3 linked regions of the Schizosaccharomyces pombe genome follow. The protein of the gene in region 2 binds, or shares a complex with, the protein of the main gene of each other region. Each region holds a gene or a part of one and is shown on either strand. Other genes may lie near its edges. A codon is read from its position in the direction of its gene.

What was found. Proteins that work in one complex are often made in the same cells at the same time.
Region 1: the proteins of ssp2 (region 2) and amk2 are in contact, whole or in part, in a crystal structure (PDB 2OOX), measured with the Schizosaccharomyces pombe proteins. Residues at the interface, in NP_588376.1 of Schizosaccharomyces pombe: Asn450 (codon at 3,141), Lys451 (codon at 3,138), Trp452 (codon at 3,135), His453 (codon at 3,132), Phe454 (codon at 3,129), Gly455 (codon at 3,126), Val456 (codon at 3,123), Asp461 (codon at 3,108), Ala462 (codon at 3,105), Pro463 (codon at 3,102), Glu464 (codon at 3,099), Leu466 (codon at 3,093), Leu467 (codon at 3,090), Tyr470 (codon at 3,081), Arg471 (codon at 3,078), Gln474 (codon at 3,069), Gln479 (codon at 3,054), Phe480 (codon at 3,051), Thr481 (codon at 3,048), Val482 (codon at 3,045), Pro483 (codon at 3,042), Lys484 (codon at 3,039), Tyr490 (codon at 3,021), Arg491 (codon at 3,018), Ser492 (codon at 3,015), Met494 (codon at 3,009), Tyr495 (codon at 3,006), Lys498 (codon at 2,997), Ser499 (codon at 2,994), Arg500 (codon at 2,991); in NP_588485.1 of Schizosaccharomyces pombe: Ser205 (codon at 1,084), Glu206 (codon at 1,081), Gln207 (codon at 1,078), Tyr208 (codon at 1,075), Ser209 (codon at 1,072), Thr210 (codon at 1,069), Glu211 (codon at 1,066), Ile212 (codon at 1,063), Pro213 (codon at 1,060), Phe215 (codon at 1,054), Leu216 (codon at 1,051), Thr217 (codon at 1,048), Leu221 (codon at 1,036), Lys225 (codon at 1,024), Leu226 (codon at 1,021), Pro227 (codon at 1,018), Lys228 (codon at 1,015), Pro229 (codon at 1,012), Pro230 (codon at 1,009), Ser231 (codon at 1,006), Leu232 (codon at 1,003), Pro233 (codon at 1,000), His235 (codon at 994), Leu236 (codon at 991), Lys238 (codon at 985), Cys239 (codon at 982), Leu241 (codon at 976), Asn242 (codon at 973), Leu261 (codon at 916), Asn263 (codon at 910).
Region 3: the proteins of ssp2 (region 2) and cbs2 are in contact, whole or in part, in a crystal structure (PDB 2OOX), measured with the Schizosaccharomyces pombe proteins. Residues at the interface, in NP_588376.1 of Schizosaccharomyces pombe: Arg448 (codon at 3,147), Ile503 (codon at 2,982), His505 (codon at 2,976), Cys506 (codon at 2,973), Arg508 (codon at 2,967), Lys511 (codon at 2,958), Thr513 (codon at 2,952), Tyr538 (codon at 2,877), Lys539 (codon at 2,874), Asp540 (codon at 2,871), Ser543 (codon at 2,862), His551 (codon at 2,838), Met553 (codon at 2,832), Asp554 (codon at 2,829), Leu556 (codon at 2,823), Ser558 (codon at 2,817), Phe560 (codon at 2,811), Pro561 (codon at 2,808), Asp564 (codon at 2,799); in NP_001342925.1 of Schizosaccharomyces pombe: Leu52 (codon at 1,823), Trp61 (codon at 1,742), Ser63 (codon at 1,736), Glu64 (codon at 1,733), Ala65 (codon at 1,730), Asn66 (codon at 1,727), Asp147 (codon at 1,484), Val148 (codon at 1,481), Asp149 (codon at 1,478), Glu151 (codon at 1,472), Thr152 (codon at 1,469), Ser154 (codon at 1,463), Met156 (codon at 1,457).

The regions. Positions count from the first base shown.
Region 1 is NC_003421.2:2,206,985-2,212,321, forward strand, and holds amk2 (serine/threonine protein kinase AMPK (beta) regulatory subunit Amk2), read right to left. Parts: upstream 2,044-5,337; 5' UTR 2,016-2,043; coding exon 1,991-2,015; exon of another isoform or gene 1,938-1,990; coding exon 1,677-1,937; exon of another isoform or gene 1,507-1,676; coding exon 1,404-1,506; intron 1,308-1,403; coding exon 839-1,307; intron 791-838; coding exon 752-790; 3' UTR 501-751; downstream 1-500. Other genes in the region: pbn1 (GPI synthesis protein pig-X), read left to right, coding at 1-486; SPOM_SPCC1919.04 (uncharacterized protein), read left to right, coding at 4,119-4,889. UniProt on the Schizosaccharomyces pombe protein: Beta subunit of AMP-activated protein kinase (AMPK), which is required for transcriptional, metabolic, and developmental adaptations in response to glucose limitation.
Region 2 is NC_003421.2:1,927,060-1,935,179, forward strand, and holds ssp2 (serine/threonine protein kinase AMPK catalytic (alpha) subunit Ssp2), read right to left. Parts: upstream 4,916-8,120; 5' UTR 4,799-4,915; coding exon 4,651-4,798; intron 4,599-4,650; coding exon 4,366-4,598; intron 4,158-4,365; coding exon 3,806-4,157; intron 3,756-3,805; coding exon 2,758-3,755; 3' UTR 2,131-2,757; downstream 1-2,130. Other genes in the region: ppn1 (cleavage and polyadenylation specificity factor complex-associated protein), read right to left, coding at 1-358, 410-620, 741-821, 980-1,148. UniProt on the Schizosaccharomyces pombe protein: Serine/threonine protein kinase essential for release from glucose repression via the phosphorylation of scr1 upon glucose deprivation.
Region 3 is NC_003424.3:3,806,632-3,812,057, forward strand, and holds cbs2 (protein kinase activator), read right to left. Parts: upstream 2,072-5,426; 5' UTR 2,040-2,071; coding exon 2,004-2,039; intron 1,941-2,003; coding exon 1,817-1,940; exon of another isoform or gene 1,763-1,816; coding exon 1,404-1,762; intron 1,357-1,403; coding exon 1,200-1,356; intron 1,145-1,199; coding exon 816-1,144; 3' UTR 501-815; downstream 1-500. Other genes in the region: phosphomannomutase Pmm1, read left to right, coding at 1-218; tma19 (translationally-controlled tumor protein), read right to left, coding at 2,897-3,403; SPOM_SPAC1F12.04C (uncharacterized protein), read right to left, coding at 4,435-5,010.

The DNA.
Region 1 (5,337 bases), 280 kb from region 2:
AGGTACGAGCTATCTAATATTGCGGAAATGCATGCCGACAATTTAGGGCATGTTTTAGGAATTTGGGGTGAGACCGACTTGGAAGCACCTAGTTACAAATTAAATGGTACTGGGTCTTTTTTCTGGTTTGACATATATACGGACGATGGTTTGTTGCAAAAAGACTATATAGACACTATCATTCCCTTACACACACGTTATCAAAGCCCTCTCAAAGGACAAACATACTTAAAAACATCATTAACAAATCCCAAGTTTTTCTGGAATTGTGACACTGAAGACAAAGTAAATGATTTCAGATTTCTGTTTTCCAGTAAGAACAAATATACCTTACAAAACGATCCAACAACCTTAAGCATATCTATTCCAATAGCCGATTTATCCTATAAACATGTCGTAGAATGGGTGACTAATGGAGTCGCGATTTTTTCGTTCTTCTACCTATTGCTATATTTGTGGAAAAGGTTCCGTTACGCAAAGGATTAAGAGAATAACATCGTGAAGTGAAGTAACTAGATATGTATTTATAAAAATTAATTAACCTATGGATCGCTACATAGTGAAATATGAACTGGTTGCTTTGTGCTTGATATCACAGCGTAAAGTTTTCTCGAAACAAAATCGTGCAAATAAACCAATCAAATGAAGTATAATGATGGGATGTTTGAGAAATTTAAAAAAATAAATTTATCATTAAAGTGATTATATACGTCGCGAAATATAAACAATAAATTCGACAGATGCGGTATGGCTAGACATCAAAATTTTTAAACATAGCAGTAGTGACATACTGGGGAAACAAAGTTAGTCAAGCAACGCGTATAAGGAACCGACTTACCTTTCGATGATAGCGCGTAGTAGCACTTAAAGCGAGAACGCCTAACTGGGTATTTGCAGCTGCTAAATGGTTTAAAAGGACGTGATTAGGATTTGGCAAGACAGACTGATCCTCCTTATAGGCAGTATTTGAGTTAAGGATACACTTCTCAAGATGAGGAGGTAGAGAAGGGGGCTTTGGCAACTTCAACTCTTGAAGGGTGTTGCTAGTAAGAAAAGCTGGTATCTCCGTAGAATATTGCTCAGATTCAGACTTTTCCTCCATCGGAAGGTCCGTATGAACTTGACTCAATCTTTCATCAATACTAGCGCCTAACTTCTCATTAGCTTCCACCTCGAGGTAGTTGTAAAGGTTGCCTTCCGCATCGGTGGCAGTTGGAAAATCTGAAGAACAGCACCATATACCATCAACCAAGAATTTAAAACGCTGAGTTCCAGGACGTAATTGCAAAAGGACAGTGTAATCTTCGCTATTTGGCGAAAAAGTTAGCAAGCTTAAAACAGGATAAACAACCTATAAAGGGAGGCTCAAATATAGAAAAAAGCACACCATGAAAAACTCATACCTTTTCAGTAATTGGATTTTTTTCTTCCAACGAGAAAACGATCCAGTGACATAAACAACTTCACCGCCTCCTCTCCATCGAATAATGGTTGGCACACAAGGACCTATATGTGTAAGTAATTAAATTGTCAATTGCAAAAAATCTCCTTTCTGAAAACTATTGCAAACAAACGTTAAGGTCAACAGCTTAAATGATAATGCAATGTTACGGTAAATCACCCTTGTTACATAAGGATGTCAAGCAATCAAATAAACCGGTCTTAAAGAAACTTACCAGAATAAGGCTGATGTGTCTTCTTGCCTGAAGTTTGAGAACGGCGTTTCGTATGACCACTCGATCCTGAAGTTCCGTTTTGGGAAGTACGATTATTACCGCCTTCCTGCTGATTATCATCCGACATTTCACCTTCTTGATTCAAATCATCTGCAGCAATACTAATCATGCTTTGGGCACGTGGTTCTTTTGGAACGTTATTTGCATTGTCAGGCGTTGTTGTGGCATCTTGAGAAGGGACAGCATGTGCGCGAGTCTCTCCTAACATTAAATTAGATACTTATTTCACATGTGTTTAACTTAAAGGACATTACCCTCCTGAGATTGAACATTTCCCATTTTGAAATGATGTAAAGTAGTTTGTTCTGGCTTTGTAGCTCATCACTTTGAACTAAACCCCAACGAGCATGAAATAAGGTTATTTATTGTATCTAAGCTATCATTAAATAGTGGAAGCTAAAGTGCAGCGTTATTCACAGTTAAACGCTTCGTACTGTTTTGCAGCTTTATCAAAGAAAACATTAATTGAAAATCCATTTATTATAAAGAATAAATATCTAAAAGCTGTATGATAAAAGCTGAAAAATTTAATATTGCATTTGGGACGTATAATACAGTTCTACAACAGCTATGTATAATCTTTTGAAGGTAAAAAGCAGCATGCTTCTCATTCTTAATGGAAATGTTTAAAAAATTATTGAAGCTACATATGAAACGATATAGAAAAATTTTAAACTACTCTGTGCATTGAGAGGCCTTCAAGTTAATTATACACTAAAAGCGGTTCACTTATAATTATTGTAACTTAGCGAGGCTTTAATTGAGTTAAACTTCCATAACCGAAAGGCCTGCATATTATATGTTTATAAATTAATGAATACCTTGTACATTACGCTCGTATAGCTTCATCTTTTTTAACTACGTTCTAGTATAACAATATATAAGTATGGCGCAAAAACTTCTTTCGTAAAAAAGACGCTTCTATTTCTCAGACGAAATCACTCAAATTAAGTTACGAACTTAAAAAAAGCCTGAATTTCTAGATATCAAATGCTCTATTTCCGTCAATTTTTCATGTCTACTTATTATGCTGCGAAATAAGCGAACTAAAATCACTGCATTGCAAAAACAAGAACAGTGTTTTCAATGAACGTACTGATTAAATACATTCCATATGAAACGAAGAATATATTATTTTTTAGTTAAATGACGACTTTACCAAACCAAACGTGAATTTTTGTTGCGATGAATCCTTCACTTTATAATCTATAACGAAGCAAAGTAGTGAAAACTTATATGTTGTTAGTACGCAGCTCAGTATTGGTTTAATGATACAATAAAGTATGAAGTATTGTTTTTTGATATGATATGTTCCATTACAAAAATGTCATGAATTGAAGTACATATGGTTGAATATGCTGTTAGAGTACTCTTTCCGTTCACCTAACTCAAACGAAATTTTGATTTCAGTGGTAATCTTTTTATGCTGTTTTAAAGCCACGAACACGAGGAAGGATTTGAAATAGACCGTTTAAATATACAAATTATACCCATACATATCCTAGAGGCTTTTAATGAATAACCTACGCGATTTATTGTTTGCTACGTAGTTTGGTATTTGTTTAGCGATACACTAAAATGCGATGAGTTTCTTTTGCGGGCTACAAGATAACGGTATGGGTATGCTTCACTAACAATATTATATTTATTGTTATAAGTCTACTAGTATTGGTGACCGATTTAGCTAATAACTGAACTGAGGAACGAGGTTCAGTTTGTCTTAATTTAAAGCATTGAAAAAACTATGTAATAAAATAACATCTTTTTATTATTGAACACTATTATAATCTTCTTGATAACTTATCTTGTAAGTAAATAGAGCAAATAGAATATTAGAGCATATGTTATAGTGTATCGTAGTGTATTTTATATAAGCTGACATTAATGTATTGTAGGAATAGTAGTATTTAGAATTGGTATGTACGCTACGCAGTTTGGTATCTGATTTAAGGATACGTAGAACTACGGTGAGTTTTCCTTGTGATCTATTATATTACAATACACAGGTTGTATAAGTAGCAACTGAGTATAGGTATTGTATTAACTGGGTTATAATGTTACCTATCACTAATATAGCTCATAACTGAACTGAGGAACGAGGTTCAGCAGTAGCTCTATTTATAGTATTCAGATAATATTGATCTTAATAGATTATCATTAAGATCAATCTCCATATCGTATCATACATGGTACGATATATAATTAGAACATGTGACATATAGTGATACGCAACGTAGTGTATCATAGCGTAGTGTCATATTGCTGACATGGTATACAAGATAGTGCATTACGCAAACAACTTGAAAGGGCACCTTCCTTGATCACTTACATCCAGAGTGCTAATTATTAAGAGCACTAATTTAAAACTTTTTTGTTTAAGACATGGATCTCTCGTTTATTGAGGGCTTTGAAACTATATGGACTGTAGTCAGAGCTGTAGTGCTCAATTACTTATTAAGAAGCCTTAAAATTCTATCTACCATCCTATATGTGAGCGCTGTCATTTCCTGGAACGTTAGCTTGAAGGTCTTTGGTAATGTACTACTTCCAGGTTTTCTCACAATAAGAACAGTTGTAATATTTATTTTACGAATTGTGAGCCTATTTTTATGGATCCTTGCTGATCCTGCTATTCTTTTGGTTCAAAGCGTGTATTGGTACTTTATTCGTGCGCCTGCAAGATTCATTTTAATGGTCGGAATTACTTTATATCCATTGTATGTTTTGCTATCATGGGCTGTATTTCTTGGAATCATTGTAGGGTTCAGTTTGAATTCCGTTTTTACTTTCATTGATTCTTTTGCAACGCCATCGTCCAATTCCACTGTTACGGAAGCCATGACAAAGATGAAAAATGAAAAAGTTTTAGAATATCCTTACAAAGATAGAAATATTATGTTGGGTGATTTGGCTTCTCGAATTCCTTCGAAGGATTCCGAAAAACTTGACGAAGAACGTCAACCAATTGCTCTCGAAAAGACGAAATCTCTCGATTCCATTAGTCATTCCTCATCTTCCTCTAGAAAATCTAGCACAGAACTTAAGATACCTCCTGTTGAGACCAGAATTGTTGCTGAGATTCCGGTTCCTTCATCTGTGAAACGACGGAGGCATCGCCCTAACAAATCAATGGGATCTATTAAAAATTCCTGAAAAGGAAATTAAAAGAATGAATTATCTCCTCTTGATTTCGATTCATTTGTTGTTTTGAAATCACAATTATTATCTATTAAAAAGGCAGTTATCCGTGTTGCAAATTGCCATTTACTAATATGTTATGTTTTTAATGAGTTAAAAAAAAAGACTTTCCTTCTCGATGTTTTGCTGGATTCTTTTTTGATTTTGCTTAATTTACTAATGCTCTTTCTTCTTAATCCGATTTTTTCTTTTGATACCTTCTTGAATGAACAGATCACTGACAAAACGCATATTTATGTTTGCAAGTGGATATCCTGACTCTTCTAAATGAATAACTTGTTTTTTGATCCTGTTAGATATATACGAGAACAAGAAAATTTCTGGAGTTTGGACCTTTGATTGGTTTCCTGCAAATCTAGCAGCATATTCGTTGTAGTAAGTTTTGGGTAAACGGCTAGAGACT
Region 2 (8,120 bases):
TTTAGAACGAATAGCTGATACAAACCAGTTACGTAGTTTAGGAAGGAACAATTTACGACCGCCGTCAACAAGTTGGCTATAAATACTATTCCCCACTTTGCTTTTAAGAAGATCTAGAAAAACTAATTTTTGATCATCTTGGGTGATATTGCTCATGAGATTAACAAGGATTGCAGCACATTCTTTTGGAGCTTGGACGATGTTAATTGGGTTTAAACACTCAGTCAGAGTAAGGCGCAAATCTTCTAACGGATCAGAGGAAGAAATTTTTTGACGAGATTTAGATTTTAATCGTGCAAGCATTTGAACGTTCACGTCTGATTTTGATGATGGTACTTCATGGGAGGCGGTATTTAAACTAAGGCGCTTCGTTAGTCATAAATAAATTTTTAAGGCAAAATAAACTTACGAAGATCCTGAATCCGGATTCCTTGAAGTATGACTTGGATTATTAACATATGGATTGGCTGAGATAGAGGTATGATTAGTATTTTGTGATTGAGAGTCATTGGAAGGAGAAATGCCAGGAGAACTTGGTTCCTTATTAGAGGACAAGGATTGTGATGGGGAGCCAGTTTGCGAAGATCCAGAAGATATGAGTGATGGATTGGATGAGGCAACTAAGATAAATATTAGCAAATTGAACGAATCAAAAAAGAAAAAGAAAAATTGAGAACATAGGAAAACTCAGTATAGTAGAGATAAAAATAAAAAGAATGAATAAACAAAAGAAAATATACCTGAAGGCATTGTAGCTAACAATGAAGCATCTTTATGTGACAGAGGTGACTGGGAGTGTTGAAACACATGAGGTTCTAAGCCTAAGGGCAACAATTAGTAGAATTCTAAGAGAAAGGATCAAAAATAGCAGAGAAAAAAGAGAGAACAAGCAATCAAGACATCACTCGCTACAGCCCGTAGAGGCAAATATTTCAAATTATTGACCAACTCTCTATCCCCGCTTTAATAGCCTGCATACCAGGGAAAGCACTCATTAACTTTTCATCTAAGTTTTCTTCTAAATCAGGACTCAGATTAATAAATTCCGGTTTTCCACTATACTCATTGGAAGTATGTGGAGGATTTTCTGACGTTTTACTTGTTTGTCTATCACTCGACACATTTCGCACGGAATTCCAATTATCCATTAATTAAATATCAAAGAGGTTCAAAGTAATACTCCGAATAAATTGAACCTTTCAGAAATTCGCACTGTGCCGATTTAATCGTTTCCTGAGGATATACGCTGAGAAAGGATCAACGTCGACTACTATTCAAGTAAGGAAACTGAACATGCAACTTTGTGAAATTCGTTGGAGTTCTCTAAACCCTTCGCTACACCATCGTGTATATTAATAGTTAAAACTAAATAAAAAAATATAATTTTAGTAGATTTTTAATTTTTTAATTATATTGACAATAATAGAAGACTTAAGAAGCATTTTTGGCGTGTGGGACTTGGTATGCCAAATGGCTTTCCAGCTGTAAACAAAATGATTCACCGTTTTTAGATCGGATCAATCTTTTCACGAATTCCGTTAGAAAAAATTAAGAATAAAAGGATATTATACTCTTATTTTTTTCTTCATTCTCTTGTGATTTTGAACCCATCTCTTTTTCCTCATACATTAACCGGTCTTCATATTAACGTCTGTTATTAGATAGTAAACATAATTTATACATTGTTTTTTTTTTTTGAGAGTAAGCTGTGCACCAGTTCTATGAACGGAGTATTTTTATTTATTTTTTGCAGAATGGAACAAATTAATCTATATACTAACTGTGGAATGTATGAATCCTTTAGACAAAATGAATGAAAATACCTTCTACAAATTTTGAGGAATATATAGTAGGATTTTCAAATAATTTAAATATTGAGACATACAAAAATTAAGAATACCAATCATTTGTTCTCGTTTCATAATTCACATTTTGTGTCTATAACTTTCTTTATTAGCTTTTTTCTTTATCACACTAAAGTTGACATTTCTATTGACATTCTTTATGAAAAGAAATTTGCAAAATTTGATGTACAGATGTTTTAACAATTTTTTTTTTAAAAAAAAAAGGGGGGGGGGGGAATTGCTTTCTTCATAAAGTTCAACTAATTACAAACAAGCTAGCATAGTATTTTAAATAGAATTGGTTTGTATTTGAATTAAAGTAAAGATAAAGGAAAATAATACTCTTTATGGACTAGTTCCTCGATGTCGCAGCTGCAAGTCGTTCTTAAATTGCAAAAAAAAATTGCATATTAACTAGTCTTTGATTTGATTCTCGTTTACATTAACATAAACGTATAAATTTTTTTTTTCTTAACGGTTTTCTTTATTATTAAAAGAAAGGTGAGCATATATAATCAACATCGTCATGCATATAGATAAATGGGAAATTTCAGTTATCAGAGAAAACCCGCATGAAAAGTAAAAGGACTCAATAAACTCCTAACATTCAGTCATTCGATTATTTCATATCAACAAATGTATTATGGTTATAACAAGATAAATACTTAACGAGTGAAACCAAAATCTTCTGTAAACCGTTGATAATACAATGGCACTAAATTCATCAATTCATAAATGTTTCAACAGAAAATGGCGGTAATTAATCCGGACACTAGTATCTTCATGCAACCTTATTCGCTAAAAGAAAAGGTAAAAAAAATAAAATGTGTCTTTGCTATTGAGTAGATTTGTTCAACAATGGGTAATTAAGGGATGCTTGAAAACAGCGTGTTAAATGGGGAGTTACAATAAATCATGCAGAAAATAACTTGCACACCAGCATAGCACACAAATCTAAAAATGGGAAAGATGACTTAAGATCATCCATGCCATGATCAGCTGTTCGTTCAGGATGAGAATAAATATCTTTGTAACCATTAGATTTCACATCTAGCATAAAACACCCGGGCATAACTTCATAAAGTTGTAACTCAATATAAGCATAAGTATTTTTTCCTTCCCTTTTACAATGAGGAATTTCCCAACGACTTTTAATGGTATACATGTCTGATCGATATTTTCCATTTACTGGTTTTGGAACGGTAAACTGAGCTCCTGCACGTTGTAAAGCTCGATACACAGCCAACAAAATTTCAGGTGCATCGCCCCGGCAGCGAACACCAAAATGCCATTTGTTACGGCGACTCTTTTTGCGAGTGGATTGGCTCGTATCCACAGCACTAGCAGCATCGGCAAGAGTCCTCATTTCAAGTTTATTTTTTTCTGCCGTAGGCACAAGGACACATATGTTACTGTCAATTGTTTGTTTAGCATATGTTGGAGGGTCGGAGACTGTCCAACGCGGTCCTTCTAAAGTAGGATCGATAAGCTCCTGTTTTGACTTCTTTTGCAATTCAGAAGTATATTCTGAAAATGCGGGTGGAGATACAGATAGAAAAGAATCGACTCGTTTTGATTTGGAGAGATGACTCTTTTCTTGGATTACTTGATTTTCATGTAGCAAGTTATAAGCCTCTTTTACTTCATTATTTTCATCTGAACGTAAAGCTTCGACAATGTAATCCTCCGAGAACCCCATTGCCTCACCAAGCTTGCTGACAATTCGTGAATCAGCATAAGAGCCTTGGACCTCCTCCATAGGACGTAAATAATCGGGTAAATTAACGTTGAACCAAGGGTCCCGACGTATTTCCTGAATTGTTATCCTCTGCATTGGATCTGCAACAATCATTCGGCGAATTAAAGATTGTGCTCCGGGAGAAAGAAAATCAGGCATAACATAAACACAACCTAAATACGTTTAGCAAGAGATAAGTAGAAAAAAAAGTGGCCAAACATACTGTTAACTTTTTTAAACAAATTGGGGATAAATTCATCGTCGAAAGGAAGACGACCCACCAACATCACATAGAGAACAATGCCGCAACTCCAAACATCGACTTCTGGACCAGCATACAATTTCCCGTTGATAACTTCCGGGGCTGCATAATTTGGACTGCCACAGGACGTTTTTAGGAAATTACCGTCTGTCATAATATTTGATAAACCGAAATCAGCAATCTTTACGTTGAGATTGTCATCCAACAACAAATTTTCGGGTTTAAGATCGCGATGTACAATTTTGTGACGGTGACAGTACTCAATTGCACATATAATTTGTTGAAAAAAACGACGACCCTCATCTTCAGTCATCTTTAAAAACAGTCAGCAAATACATAAATTCGTGCATTCAAATTTGTAAACAAGCCTTCATCAGCAACATTTCAGATGCAAAAACAATTTATCTTTTTCTATTTTTAAAAAAGACAATCGGATAACTTGTACATTTTGACAAATCAAACCAATCCAACATCACTTCTGAAATTTACTGTAACAAAAACTCGCAAACCGCACCACTTACCCTTTTCTTTTCTACAATATAATCAAACAATTCACCACCTGCATATTCAATTACCATAACGATATCTGTGGGCGTGGTTATCACATCATACAATTTAATAATATGAGGATGTCGCAAAAGCTTCAAGTATGAAATTTCACGCTCCACACGCATATGCATATCGCTTTTCTTTAGCAATTGACGGGAGATAAACTTGAGAGCAACTTTCTGTTGCGTTTTGTAATGAGTAGCGACTACAAGTACGTTAGTCTCTATTCTCATGATATTAAATATTAGCAATCTTACGCTTGACTTTGCCAAAAGAACCTTCACCAAGGGTTTCCCTTATAATATAAGGGCCGATATGGCGCTTGGATATGGCTTCTGGTGGTAAAACTCTTGCTCCATTTCGCATGGTTGAGTTCTCCATTAAATCAACCTCCTGCGGTTGCATTATCAGCTATTCGCTTGGCAAATCCAATATTGAAAGTTTATTGATAAAATCTTTTTTTCCTTAATAGCAAGGCTTAAATTTCAGAGTGTGAGATAAATATATAATTTGGTAGAAGGCAAAGCCATAGTATACATCCTTAGTTGTGTCACATGAGATGATATGAATTGGACTCGTTAATTCGTTTAAAATAACACTATACAGTTTTTTAAGCCACCGTTTTACTAGTTAACGAAGTTGCGTCACAATGCGGAATTTTACTCAATGAATTAAAATTCTACTACACTATTCATTTTAATGCAAACTGCAAACTCTTATTTAACTAACCCAGTTAACTGTTCCAATAAAATACTTATACATGTTACAGTGTTCGCATTTCAATCTTGGCTGTATAAGTAATAACATGATCCAAGTATGATTAAGCAGTTTATTATGTTTGTAAAGAACCCATCCCAGATATAATGGAACACACGGCGTACCCCACAGTCTTCATAAGATGGTTGTTAAGTGCAGCGTTGTGTATCGCATTATAACGCTCTTGTCAAATCTTCGTTGAGTTTGTAAACAATTAAGTACTGGTTGAGTTAATACAAAAAAAAGGAAATGAACAAGCTTTTTATTAGAAAAGAGTCTTCATATTGGATGTGATTTCTCAGCAACATTTAAACAGTGATCATGAATATAACGAGCCTGAACTGATTTCATTTGTTTACAAGGCACACAGACTAATTATCACTGTTTCTTGCATGAAAGTCTTTGCTTTGACGAAAAAATTTAATATTCTAAGAAAAGCTATCAATCAAAATCCAAATAAAAATTTTTTTAGAAAGCAGGGAAGTGTTTTCGAAGTCAACAACTTGTATGATAATATAAGAATGCAATAAAAATACAGCGCAATTTACCCTGAACGAATTTTATAGCTTGTTTGGGGTAAATCACAATCACAGGAATGCTTTTTTATTTGGACATCCTCGTAAACAAGTTTCGTGTAAAAAGCATCTTTGTAATTCAAATAGTAAAGTTAGCATGTGATTGGACTTTATTTACAAAATTCATTTCACACGATGAATAGAGGTTTCTTCATTCACATGCTGTCTGGCATCACGATCTATAGGTGTTAAGCAAACACATTTAAAGTGATACTTTTTTATATAATAGAATATGCCACCATAAGTTAGTTCGCAAATTTTTAGCTTTAGGTCAAACTACGCAATTAAAACTTTGCGCTACGTGTAGTAGTACGGTAAATTTCGTTGTGGTTTATTAATTATAGTATACAGATATCATGAGTAGCAATTAATTTTATGTATTGATATATGGGTTAAATCGTTACCCATCACTAAACTAGCTTATAAGTGAATGTCGTTCCTGAGTTCAATTTGGCTCTATTTATATTTCATCCTAATTTATTAAACCACAAACATTCTAGATGAACAGTTATCCGCGATTATCAGTATTTAAACGGGTCTTAAAACTATATTAACATAAGGAAACATGCTGATACACAACGTAATGTATTTTAACGCAGGGTAGTATTGCTGACACTAATTTGCAATGACTTTCTTGTTAACTCGCGTTTTAGTAAATAAAAACATTAATTTCGTTTAATTTGAAATTAAAGCAAAAAGACATTATATGTTTTCCTAAAATCATTAATGATGTAGACATATCAATGCCTTGCCAACTCGCGAATTAACATGTTTATCGTATTGTTGTCAGCAAACGGGATAAGAGTTTTGCCTCATATTGCTTGGCAAACAGTAAGTCTACTTTCTTTTTGAATTTAATTCATGAACGAGTTAAAAATTTTGACACAAATTCTTGTTTCTGCAGTACAATGATTTGCTTGTCGCACACATTCACAGTCATTGTATAACTATCCTCGTGTAAACATCGCAGATCTCTACATTGCAAACGTCCTCTATTTCAGTATAGTATAACTCTATCTAATCCTTTGTTCATTTCAAAATGCCAAGTTTGAGGTATGGATTAGGGAGATACTCTTTCATGTTGCTTGTTCAAAGAGAAAAATATTAAAAATCGAGGAAATTCAGAAGAACAAGAAAAGTGTGTAGTATTGGGAAGCGTTTGAGATTTATAAAGGTCCTCTAAAATAAAAAAGAACGACTTTAGGATTGACATATGAATTTTTCCGAAAAACTAAAGCACATTGGAAGATGAATATATTCTGATAATTAATTAATTGCGTAAAGGATGTCAATGTAAAATGCTAAGGCAGAGAGCTGGGTTCAGTCGTCGATTTTAAGCCTCGAGAATCGCCAGCTAATTGAAGAAAGAAGAGGTAAGTAAATAAAACTTGGGAGGCAAAAACGCAGTTGACAAGAATTTAAAAAAAAAAGTGAAGATGAAGATGAAGATGAACAATATTTTACTTACTATCCAAACAATTTAATATGACAATAGCATACAACAAATTACAATGTCATGCTAGGTTTCCCTAATTTTTTTGGTATTCTGACTTTCAACTTTTCTGATATGATTGTTGATTTCCCGACTTGTTTACGCATCTCGTTTCTCCAGGTTTTTGTATCGACGTCCTTCATCATATGTTAACTCTATCGGGGATTAGAAAAAAAGGCGCAAAATTAAACAATCAAAGATTGCCGCCATGCAATGATTTCAAATCCAATCTACCCACATCCGCTATCTAAGGTATTTACCGAGAAAGAACTCGACAAGACGGTTATATTATAGAGAAATGAAAAGAAGGTTGATATTAGAGGAAAGAGGATTGTATTGCGAATAGAAATGATGTTTGGCTCATTCTATATGAAACTTTGTCAATTTACTTCTTCTTGTTTTATTTAAGTTGAAACGATTTACTTTTCTTTTTATTCGTTATTAGTTGTTTTTTATTTGATTTTGTTTTGGATAGCTGTAGTCATATGTATGCTTTTTTTTCGGTTTCATTATTCTTTTCATTTCTACATTTCTTACAGATAGTTTATTTTGCAAAATCAATTAAAAAAAAACAGTTCTGATGATAAGGATAATACACTTGCAAACAACTGGATCTTAGTTATCAATGGATCCTCGTATCCTTAATTTTTTAAAAATTTCGTAAGTTTCTTTACGTACCGAAAAATAGCGAAATCAGGACAATAGAGAAGAAGAGGTTATTGCTTTTTGATGGAAAGTACATGATCAACTGTTTTCCTGTACTATAGAAAAATTGGTGTTTATTTTTTGTTTCCTCTATTTTACTATACGATTTATTGTGTTTCGTTTTTACTGTACGAATTATTGTGTTTTCGCCAAACATGCTCTTTGCTCTCTCTCTCTCTCTTTTCACCATATCATTTCA
Region 3 (5,426 bases), on a different chromosome or scaffold from region 2:
GTCAAATCTCTTTTGATGTGTTCCCTGCTGGTTGGGATAAGACATATTGCTTGCAACACGTAGAGAAAGAGGGATTTGATACAATTCACTTTTTTGGAGACAAGACATACAAAGGCGGCAATGATTATGAAATTTTTGTCGACCCTCGTACTATCGGACATTCTGTTACTAATCCTGACGATACCATTGCTGAACTCAAGAAAATTTTTAACATATAGATGAGTTTGTAGTGTGTTGATTAGATATGCGTCCCTCTCTTATCATTACGGAAAAGGTTAGCTTTCTTAGTTGTAAATAACTACTTCATATGCTCGGCGAGTGTGAAGTTTCTTGCACACAATTGATCTGTCATTTAACTCGTACATCTTCCATAATTATTGGTAGCATGGAATGCGAAGAACATTAAATTATTGTAATCTACTGCCAACGCAGCTTTTAATACTCATACCTGAACAATATGCATATATGAAAGAATATTTACAAGAAAATTACACTTACGATCGGTTAATTGATGCATTCCTAGAAAAATGCGAACTTAGTAGCTAATGAAAGGCATGTGTTAGTTATTTAATTAGATAGGCATTAGCATAATGGTACAAGTCACATCATATTATATAGACAGAAGTTGTAATAACCGAATTAATACTTTTTGAAATAAAAGAAGCCTCATTCGAGTACACTGAATTAGATACCACCTCGAGCTGCCATGCAAAAAAAAAGAAACAACTCAACGGTTTAACTTCAAATATCATGAGACTTGGCAATGTTTTCAACAGATTATGAATGCATTCAGGCTGAAGCGCACGAGAATCAAATTATACGGCAGATTCAAAATTATCAGTTTGTTCGGGAACGCCGGGCGTAGTCGTTTTATCGTATATTATGTAATTTAAAATATCAGCCAAAGATAAAATACCTTCGAGCTTCAAGTTTTCATCAACCACGAAAAGACGATGAACCCTGGAATGCTTAATAGCATCAAAAATACCATCCAAACGATCAGTAGCTCGACAAGTGTGGACGCCATCAAAGTTAGCTGGTCTTTTCAATAAAGCCTCGCCTACGCTCAAGTCTAAATTACTATAATCACCATCTTGTATAAGATGCATTACATCCACCGATTCATAGACATTTAGCAGGGTACCTGCTCAGTTAATATATAAATTATTCACAGAAAAAATTCAAAACATCTCACAAACCTTCAGAATTAACGATTGGGACGGCAGATATATTCTTTTCGGCAAGCATTTTAATAACATCATAGACTTTCGTTTCCATAGACGCGGTAGCTAAATTTGACCATGTCCCAATTGTCATTTGGTTTAATGGTACCCGTAGCATTGCGGTTTCTTTGCACTAAATTTGAAATTAGTAAATATAAAAACATAACACGATTTACGAACATTCATGGAGATAAATTTCAAAATTCGATATTGTGTCAAAACAGATACAATCATTTCGCTGCCTGTCTCGCCATCTACGTCAATTAAAGGAATTCTTCTAGCACGGCTCTTTGACATGGCTAAGCAAGCATCCATAAGACTATGCATTGGATGAACATATATAGTTTCCGGAGGAATGGCGCCAATCTTTCTTTCCACTTCACGAAGTCCCAACAATCGAAATTTGTCAATCTCAGCTATAGCCTCGGGAAATGAAGAGCTTTGGTAATAATACTTAATAACATTGACGAAATCCGCCATCGTTAAAAGGCCCGCAAACTTATTCGCTTCACTGTCCCATAAAGGAGCACTGACGATATCTAAGACGTGATTAATAAGTTGATTTCACATCTGTAATGAAAAATCTTTCGTACTGTTTAATGTAAGAAGAGAAAGTGATGTTTTTACAAAAAGCGTAACATCGAACACGATTAAACGGAAGGACGTAGGCAAAACATCGTAACTTGTACGCGAGCGTATAAATGCTTGAATTTCTTTCTGTACATCACATAGATTAATAATTATTTCTATTTAATAAAAAATCTATTCCATATCACTTACGAGTGCTCCTTTTTGGGTCTCTTGAACGTCTGTCATGACCTCGTCAAAGGATATATGGTGTGGTTGGTAAAAGAGACTAGATAAATGAGCGAGGGGAATGGTAACCCGCACAAGGGCAACAAATCGAGGTGTTAAGTAATTAGTTGCAAATAGTACAATGCCTAAATTATGCGTATTTGTTAGTGCTTTTAAATGATATATTTCACTTAGGGGAATATTGTAGCTAAACTCGTTGATTTAAACTGCTTATATAGTTTACTATTTAAACGTAACAATATACATTGACAAAATTAAATGCAACTAGTCTATTAACTCAATGATAAGATTGATTAAAAGGCTTAACAATTAAGCATAAATTTAATCCAATAGTCGTCCGCTACAAAAATAACATCGTCGAGCAAAAATTTCCCAAATCTTTAGTACTAACAGTAAACTATAGTTTCGACTGTAACAAAGTTTCAATGGCTACCGGGTCGTCTAGTGTCGCCATAACAAAAGTTTGGCTATTCCTCGTAAAGGACTTGAATTATCAACTTCGATAAAAAGCAAAAAAATACACTAAATTAATGGTAAAATACCAAATTTCAAACCATATCCTTACTTACTAAATTATTTCGGCCTGTTAATATATAAATAGATTCATGAATTTTAGCACACACGTTTTAAAACATCGATACCTCAATCTTCCATTCAACCAAATACAAAATCGATAAAAAAACACTAATTTCAATTTGAACATGATTATAAGCTAGCATAATTAATTATTATCAGAACAAAAACCCCTGTTCTAATCCTAATGAAATTTTGTGAAAACTAATTCACAAAACTATAAAATTTAGACATGATATCATGTTCCCAGTTAGAAACTCCCTTATAAGAACCCAAATTTGCATTTAGAACTTCTCAGAAACAAGACCGTCCTTGAAGAAGATCATGTAGGGAGTAATACCATCCTCACGGTAGTTCATTAAGACAACCATTGCGTCGGGATCCATGCTCTCACCAATGTAAAAGTCGTAGTCCTTGAAGTTAGCCAAAATCTTCTTGACGAATCCAATGGCATTCTTCTCGAAAACAGGAACACGCTCGGGGTTGCTTTCTTGAAGACGAGCCTTGATAGCCTTCATGTAACCCTTGATGTAAGACATATAGGACTTCTTGTCAAAAGAAGTAGGGCTTAAACGGAAAGAGTAAACAAGATTGTTTACAGTCTCAGTACCCTCTTCAGCATTCTCCTCAGCATCCTCGGCAGAAGGGTTGGCACCAATGTCAACATCACCACCTTGCTTGACAGTGACCATTTGGCAATCAGCCTCGTAGACAATATCGTCTACCTCCTTCAAGTCGTAGGCGTCAGAAACGAGTTCGTCTCCAGAAATAACGTCCTTGTACAACAACATGGTGATTGCAGATGGTAGCTCATAATTTGACTTCTCGCAGGTTTAATGAGATAAAGCAGTCACAGTTTAGGGCAGGGTTACTGGATTCTAGCCATCCGTATGGAATGCGGTTACGAACAGTATTCACTTTACGTAGTACAGCGTTGTTTTCGATAGATACATTTTGTTTACCAATTCCTTCATTTTTTTCAATTTGTCGTAGTCTGTTCTCCTTTCTTTTAAATAACAATATTCTTTATATTTTCAGATTTTTTTTTAGATGAAAATATCGTTGTACTCAGTCAGTAGTAAATTGTTTTATATTACTGAATCTGATTTTTTGAGTGAAACCATTATGATGCGTGTAAAATTAAGATTAAAGCTGGAATTAAAGTCCAAATGAATTCAACAATTGAACCATATTTAACAGTATGTGTATTAATCTCTATGTTCTTTAATCAACTTGTAACCATTTATGTCGCCTCAAATTTATTATTCGAGCTATTATCCGTCAATTCTTGAGTCGTAATTAGAACATTCTCAACAGTACTGAGCTTCAGAAGAAACCTAAAAAAGTAGTGCATTATAGTTGATAATAATTCCTTAACGTTTATATATGATATACTTAAAAGTATGATATCGTACATCCTCAATTTGAAATTGCAGGGCCATTAAAAACACTCGTTAATAAAGATATTCAGTTCAATTAGAAAAAAATGACAAGGTACATTTTGGTGACAAACAAAGAGTAACTTAATGTTTTCCGTTGATTAAATTTTCGATCAATATCCCAAAATTTAAAACGCTTTAATGGAATGGATTAACGATTAAAATCGACTTCATTTCTAAAACCTTTCAAGCTTTAAACCGATTCAGTCCCTTCATTTAGAATGGCATATTTCGATTTTTGCTGAAAAAACCAAGACGACTGTTACCACTTTTGTTTACTACTTTACTCACATAGACATTCGAGAAAACGAAAAATAGTTGAGCACGAATAGAATTACATGAAAAAAGTAACTTCTATTTAAATTTAAAAAGCTCATTCGTAACTAAGCTCTTTTATTGTGCAAAGAGAGGATTAGTTTTCTAGTTTGTACAATTGCGCTGAAAAGACCAAGAACTCCAATTTGGTGTTTGTGTAAACCAGCTCCATTTTCTACAGACCAGTGAATACACAAAGGAAGGCTAGCCAAGTTTGAAGCTAAGTCTAACTGATGCTCCTTTTCGTCTTCTGTTTTTTCACGCAAAAGCTGGTAAATGGTCAATAAAGTATCGAGAAGCCAAAATCTAGAAGACCAAAGCCATAATTTGTCTTCCAACGGTTTTGATATGGAAATAATCTGTTTGCCGCCTAAGAATGCCAATCCTTCTGTGACATAGTATCCAATATTGATTGCGTTACTCATGTAAGTTTCAGGAGAAGAATCTTTACGAAAATTTACGATTAATTTGTAGAGACCAGGAAGACGTAAAATACATCGAAATTCATTTAGCATAGAAACCAGTTGAGCAGTTGATTTCGAAGATGCTGGATCCAACCTCGCAACGTTGACAAGAATGGCAGCAATTTTGTCAATTCCGCTGGGATTTTGCAGCATCAGGTTTAAAGAATGCATATAAGACATATTTCTCAAAAAATTTCAGCTCTAAGATTTGGTCAATTATATTGTTCACGAAAGGTAGTCTAATTTTCGTATACTTTAGTAGAAAAGCGTAAAATCCAAAAAAATACTAAGTAGCGTATGTAAACGACTAAAATTACCAAATCCAAAGATTATTTGAATGACGATAGATGTCGGTTCGGCAACGTCTTATGGTATAGAGAGTGAGTGTGCTGCTATAGTCGATCGGATCAGCAAACGTTAGCTAGTCTGTTTAGTACACCAATAGATTTGATAAGAAAAATCTACAGTGCAGCAAAGTGAAATGTTATTTTATGAGTTGATCGATTTTACTTTTAGAATTACAAATGATAAGATATGATAACTTTCTCCAGTTATCACGTCGATTAGATCGCCGGAAATAACTCCGATATTGAGGA